Linked DNA regions of Rattus norvegicus. The protein of the gene in region 2 interacts with the protein of the main gene of each other region in a pairwise test. Links are inferred from orthologs where the notes say so. Each region holds a gene or a part of one and is shown on either strand. Other genes may lie near its edges.

Evidence for each region.
Region 1: the proteins of Ywhae (region 2) and Dtl interact in binary tests that used the Homo sapiens proteins (3 or more experiments, as listed by UniProt). The link is inferred for Rattus norvegicus from reciprocal best matches to the Homo sapiens genes YWHAE and DTL.

Annotation. Positions count from the first base shown.
Region 1 is NC_086031.1:105,672,387-105,676,041, forward strand, and holds part of Dtl (denticleless protein homolog), read right to left. Parts: intron 2,301-3,655; coding exon 2,235-2,300; intron 827-2,234; coding exon 714-826; intron 1-713. UniProt on the Homo sapiens protein: Substrate-specific adapter of a DCX (DDB1-CUL4-X-box) E3 ubiquitin-protein ligase complex required for cell cycle control, DNA damage response and translesion DNA synthesis.
Region 2 is NC_086028.1:61,110,291-61,113,945, reverse strand, and holds part of Ywhae (14-3-3 protein epsilon), read right to left. Parts: intron 3,063-3,655; coding exon 2,856-3,062; intron 414-2,855; coding exon 277-413; intron 1-276. UniProt on the Homo sapiens protein: Adapter protein implicated in the regulation of a large spectrum of both general and specialized signaling pathways. Binds to a large number of partners, usually by recognition of a phosphoserine or phosphothreonine motif.

The sequences.
Region 1 (3,655 bases), on a different chromosome or scaffold from region 2:
TGGCCTGGCAGTCAGTGTAGTTCCTGCTTAACAGTCTTTGCTTAAGCATTTGCATGACTGAGCGTGCTTCGACGTTTCAAATATGGACAAATTCTGAATATAGAAGAACCCACAAAAACAATATTGAAAAACTTCAGCACCATGCTTACAGCAAGTTGACGAAAACATCTACAAGTGACTAAACCTCCACCCATCTTTCCATTACCTATCTTCATTAAAAACAACAGTGCACGTTTCAAAGAGTAAACAAAAAAAGTATATCTATGAAGACAAGGACTCATTTCCCATAAAAAGCTTGTCACTTGGACCTCAACATGCTTCTTCAACTACCTTTTCACTTTTTGTAACAAATGCATGTATGCTCAGAAAGTTCAATCTGTACCATGTCTGCTACACAACCCACTGGAGTTAAGAACCATTTTTTTGTAGTGGTATTAAGTGAGTTTTAATACCAAAGGAATTCAGAGTTACATCCATCTTTTTGCCTAACACAATAGGCAAAAGAAGAAGAGAGATTTGATTCTCCCTACTGTTGAACGCCACTAATGTCATGCAGGTGGCTCACATCTACAGTCCTAACACTTGGTAGGCCTAGGTAGAAAGATCATGTATTTCAGGCCAGCCTAAGGATGCAGAGATCTTGCCTCAAAAGCAAGCAAACACAACAACAACAACAACCACCTATTTACACACACAGTCCTCTAAAACCTTACCACAGATGGAGCAAGTCCTTTTGAATTTTGTTTCTTCTTGGGTTTTGAAGGGGTTTGCTTGTCTGCAGTATTGTGAGCGCCACTGATTTGATTCACTTGTCTATAAAATCCATCTGAAATGTTCCAAGGGAATTGATTTTTAGTGTTTTCTGATTTCAAGCTGAAAGCAATATTTAAACATTTACACAGAACCTCAAAATTTTGTGATTTTTGACTAACTAGTAAAATATACAATAGTTATTTAAAAAAACAAAAAACCCTGAAGAGGCTCAGTAGAGGTAGAGATCCTGAAGATTTGATTCCCAGCTCACACGTTCACATGGAAGGATGGATCCACTTGTGTACTATGGTATGTGTGTATACATACACACAGTAAATTAAAAAACAAAACAAAACAAAAATCTCCCAACAATCCCAAAGAGCCAGTTTATCTCCCATGGTGAGTTTATAACATCACAAAGAAAAACAGATATAGTTATACAGTTTTATTCATAATGGCTAAAACGTGTAAACAATCAAGGTATCCTTTAGTGGACGAATGGATACAATGTGGTACACCTGGACAAAAGAGTAATTCTGTGCTAAAAAGAGATGAGTTATGACGTGACTCAATTATGAAAATCTGGAAAGTCATGGAGACAACCCAGTGGTAGCGAGGCCTAGTGAGGAAGCATGGACACCAGAGCAGACAGACACACGTCTATTTGTCAATATCCACAGCATGTGTGACATGAGAAATAAACCCTGATGTGAGTTATGGACTCGGGGTAATTATGCATCAACCAACACTTGCCAGCTGAAGGAGGCCCCACCTGAATGACAGGAGAGGCTGCGCATGTGTAAGTGTTCAGTGTACATGGACCTCTCTGCACTTTTAATGTTGCTATGAAATTAAAAACTGCTCCACAAAAATAGCTTAATATTTTAAAACAATACATAAATAATGAGAAACACACCAATGACCATCTCCTTTAATACCACTATTGTACAATACAAGCTTATATTCAATTTAATCATTTTTTAAATGCTAAATTATTTTTCTTAATGTGAGGAGAGAAGGAAGGGAATGTACTCCATGGTGCCAGAGTACAGAGGTTGTAGGACAACTTGAGGGAGTTTGCTCTCTCCTTCTACACGTAGGAACTGAAATCGGGTAGTTGGGGTTTGATGACCAGCACCTTTATCTGATGAACCATTTGTCAGGATGAAAAAGGAAAATTAAAAACAAACAAAAACACCTCAAACAAACCTTTATTCAGTGAATCTATGCATTAGTAGTTTTAATTCTATCAATAATTTAGGTAAACAGAATTATAATTCAGAGACAGTATGAAAATAAAAACATGTACTAATAGCTTTGCAATACTCATTACCCTGAGAAGTGAGCAATGAGCAGGACTGGGAACACAAGTGCTCCCTGCTGGCAGCAGAGGAAATCACTAGCATTTTCATTTTGAGTATCTTGTTTTATTAAGCACAGGGTGAGCCACATTTATTAAAATTAAGACAGAACTAGTTTACCTTTTTTGTTGCACCTGGTGTCCCAGATCATAATGTTGCCGTCTCTCCCACCAGTACAGAACACAGCTGTGGAAAGAGTTCATCAAGATGTTGTAAAACAAGTCAGACACATTCCATGGAAATCACCCAGAGAATGAATGCATTCTCTAAAAGTACTGATTTTGGCGCCAGAGATTATAGTAAGAAAATGATATCATAGTACTATCTTAAGTTCTATACACTTTTCACTCATTACCTGTCAATCTTCCTATTTCAAGACAAGTAACATCTAAAAAGTCTTCTTAGCAGGGGTAAAGTTCTTCTACCTCTGGGTATAGAAGAGGCACCAGCATTGAACAGAACACAGAACTTCCATTTATTTGCAATATTTTATGTTTTAGGTAAAAATGAAAGCAAGGTATATATAGCTTCAGTGGCATAGCGTTTGTCCAGTATACACAAGGCCAACGCAAAATATGCAGTCACAAAAAATTTAAAAAGAAACTGTGCTTCCTATGTGGAAGAGCGAGCAATTAACAAACTGATCAACTATAATAGCTATAAATTGAACAAAGTACCAAAACGACTACCTGAGAGCTTTGTGGATACTGAGTCAAAATAGCTAATTTTGTAGGAGTTCACAACTAAATCAGGTGACTAGACCAGAGCAAGCAAGGCAAGAGGTAACTAAAAGCCAATGGAAAAACCTGCCAGCTTCCCTTCAAGACAGATGAACCACGGAAGAGACTGGGGGTGGAGAGGGGCTCTATCACAAGAGCTGCCCAAGCAGGCAAGCTAGACACAGGGAGAACCTTTTACTTATGTCTTCAAACTCAGACTCATCTCAGGATAACATGCTAGAGGTTAACAAATTGAATTGACAGACCTATTGCCTTCCTATATTAATTACTGCACAACTCCGAGTAAACTAAAAACTGTCAAAAAAGCAAATTTTATGGTATATAATATGGTTTGAACAGTGTACCAGTCAGGTAGAAGTAGTGCTCTACCCTCATCAAAGCAGCTTCTTTCTGCAGCAGATGGAGCTGTTTACAGAGACCCACAGCTGCTCAAAATGCAAACAAGTCATTATCCTATGCTCACCCTCAATTGGAACATCTACAATATAACCCCTATGCCCAAGACTCAGTGAATGCCTAGGAGCCAGTGTTACAGATTCTGAGAGCCAGAAGAGCAGAACACCTGCTGTGAGATAGTGACTTCTAGATATAACACAGCCACTGTGCCTTTGAAATCTCAACAGTATGGCTGCCTAATCAAAACCACATAGTGACAATGCCCATTGACATGCTAGCATGGATAAAGGAAATTTCATAAAGCTTCACCCTTAGACGAAGAACGACAGGAAAACCAATTTCCTCTGTGGAGCAGCCTCCTGATAAATTTCTAATCCCCAGTGGTCAGCCTTAAATACACGCATG
Region 2 (3,655 bases):
AGTGACTAGTGCAGGGTGAGTGAGTACTAACAAAATTAAAGGCAAAACCTTTCCACTAAATATTAGCATAGTATTTCTACACCATGTATGAAATTGTCAAATAGGCCTTTTACTTTCACTATAAAGAGGTCAAAATGGTACTCAGACACGACTTCCTACAGAAGGAATAAACGTTAACTACTGCAGACAGGCTGAGTCTGAATTATAGACCAAGACTAAGAAACAGCAAAGAATTTAGAAGAAGCAACGTTAGAGAAGCAGTCTGGGCTTGCTCACCATCGCCCTGCATGTCTGAGGTCCACAGCGTCAGGTTATCACGTAGCAGCTGCATGATGAGTGTGGAGTCCTTATAGCTTTCTTCACTCAGCGTGTCCAGTTCTGCAATTGCGTCATCAAAAGCTGCTTTTGCCAACCTGAAATGAACACACTATCATTAACCAACTAACAATAAAGAAAGCAACAATGGGCACGTCTCTCAGTGATTCTACCAGTCACAAAGACAATTGCCTAGATAACTTTAAATATTTTTTGTCCAGCTTGGTTTTTTTTTGTTTTTTTTTCAGAGCTGGGGACCTAACCCAGGGCCTTGCGCTTCCTAGGCAAGTACTCTACCACTGAGCTAAATCCCCAACCCCCAGCTTGTTTTTAATAATAAAAAATACATTTCTAAAATTTTATATAGATGAACCTGTCATAGTTGCCTCTCTATCTCCATCACATAAATCCTAAGAACTAAACTCTGGCTATGAGGCACCCTACCTACTCAGCCATCTCAATAAATGCTAGAATTGCTTTTTAAACACTTTCCTATATATAAACCAAGGCAGTCCTTGGAATCCCAACCCTAGCCAAGAGTGCTAGTACATAACTAACTTCTGCACTTGGAAGGGAGCAAGATCTAGTTCCATGCCAGCTGGGGTGACACAGTGAGAGCATATCTCAAAGCAATTATATAAACTGCCTCAGTCTCTCACAGCCCTGTACAACCTCACTCAGCTAAGGCGCTAATTCTTTAAAAAAAAAAAATTTTTTTTTTGATGTGTGTGTGTGTGTGTGTGTGTGTGTGTACACAAGAATGTAGGTGTCTGATGAGGGCTGAGGCATCAGACCCCCTAGAACTGGAGACATGAGCAGTTGGGGAGCTGCTTAATGTGGATGCTGGAAATAAAACTCAGGTCACCTGAAAGCACATATTCTTAACACTACGCCATCTCTCTAGCCCCAAGGCACTAATTATTAGTATGATTTATACAAACTATTATAAATAGGCTAGACCGTAAAGAACTATATACCCCACCCAAAACCGCCATAAAAATATATGTGTGATATTTTTCTGAGTTCTATTAAGTTTTAATGAAAGAGAAAATCTTGGATGCACAATAGTATCAATCAATACATTTTAATAGAGACTGGACTATGTGAGCCAATTTACCAATGAGCAACAGCCTCAGTCCCATTGGCTACATCTTAAAAAAAGAAATGAAATCTACACTTAGCCAAGGCAAAGAGGCATCTGTATGGGAAACAATAGTGAGAAATTCAGTCAACACCAGCACTAACAGCTATAGCTTCTTCAGTAAAAATCTATGGAAACCTTGTCATTCAGATAACAGGTACAACTACCTCCACATTGTTCTCTGACACACACACAGAGAAACACATACACACACACATTAAACACCTTTTATTTTGCACTGTGAGTGGGCATGTGGGTCCTGGAGGTGACTCAGGCTGGCAAGCCTCATGGCAAACATTTTTACCTGCTGAGCCACCTCCCTGGCCCATACATTTAAAAAAAAAAAAAAATTTAAGAGGTGCCAAGTGAGAAAAGCAGGCAATGAATGTCCACTTTTCCCTCCCACCTCAACCAGGCATAAACACAAACATATATACACAAAAAAAAAACCTTAAAACACACAGGCCTTGGATTCAATTTTCTGCACTAAAAACAGGGGGGAAAGTTCATATATCAATGCACTTTACAAAAGGTGAAAAGAAGCCGGCGATTTCACACTGTAACCAAGGCAAGTGTGCTCATCCTCCTGCCTCAGTCGCCTGAGGACTGGATTACAGGCACAAGCCACCACCCCTGGATGGGATAGAAGATTTATAGATACTGTTACCAAGAAATTAAAACAATTTTACTTATGTAAGATGCCAAGAACAAGCAAATTCAGACAGTGAAACAGGTTAGGAGAATCTGGATAAGAGTCACAGGTTAAACTCAGATAGGGTGGAGTGAGGAAAATGTTTTGAAATTAGCTGATGCTGAGGGTTCTAAAGCATGATTTAAAAACCAGAAACAACCTGAAAAATGGGAGAAAAGGAGGTTGGAGAGATGGCTCAGTGGTTAAGTACATTAGCTGTCCTTCCAAAGGATCTATGTTCAGTTCCCAGAACTCCCCAAAAGAGTTCACAACTAGTGAGTGCCATGATTTGACTCCTAGGGCCCATCATAGCAGGGAGAGAATCAATTCCCTCAAGTTGTCCTCTGATTTTCATCTGCCCAGCTATGGGGACATCTACGCATCTACACCCACAAATGTGCAAAAAAACTTAGCATGACAATAGTGTCACATCACCAATGAGAGTAAAAATAAGACTTCATATTAAACAGAAAATATTTTTGAAAAGGAAAGTTGTTCACTAAGAGTAGTAAGAGTATAATCCATTCAAGGCTATACTAGACACCTAGTACCAAGACCATGCCTCAAACAAAGCAAGCAACCCCAAAAGACTGAATAAACGCTAATAAAAATTAAGTCAAGAGAATCCTGTGACACCTACAAGAAGACAGAAGGCAGGTCCTCTAGAGCCTTTGCATTCCACACTGGGAACTTTCGTCCACTACTTACCTGCAGGCACGGTCGGGGGAATTAAGAATTTCATAGTAGAATACGGAAAAGTTGAGAGCAAGACCTAAACGAATGGGGTGCGTTGGAGGAAGTTCTGTCATCGCAATGTCACTAGCAGCTTTGTAAGCCACAAGGCTGTTCTCTGCTGCCTCCTTCCTGTCGTTTCCTGTGGCAAACTCAGCCAGATACCTGTGGTAGTCCCCTTTCCTACAATACAATAGTAGACAAAAAACACAATTAGAAAATTACATGTCCTTACAGCATGGCAATTTTCTCTACCATGTAGTACATGACAAAATGTTATGTTAACACTTAAGATACAGATTTTTTCTGAAACTTTAATAAATGACATATTTTTAGAAACTTTACAAAATTCAGAATCCATCAGGATGGCTCATCTTTTCTTTCTTTACCTGTTTTAAATTATTGGCAAACTATCTCAGAAATAACTGAAGAAAAAAAGATTCACAGAAGTGTCTCTGAAGAAAGGCGTATATTCACTCATCACACAACACATTTGCTGCCATCGCTTCAGTGCAGGAGCCCAGGAGCCCCGAGCACGCTGAGCCCCCACTATCCCTGAGTAATTCTCAGCCTTACTTCTCTACAGAAAGTTAAGATTATACTGTGAACTGGGAAACTTTAGCTAAAAAGACCAGGAAATCAAAAGCCCAGGCAGGGTGTGGTAACATACAATCCTAGCACTTAGGAAGTTGACCAGATCACTCCAAACCTGAGATGAACCCAATCTACACAGTTCAGGACAATCTGGGCCACACTAACCTTTTCTCAAAATAAAC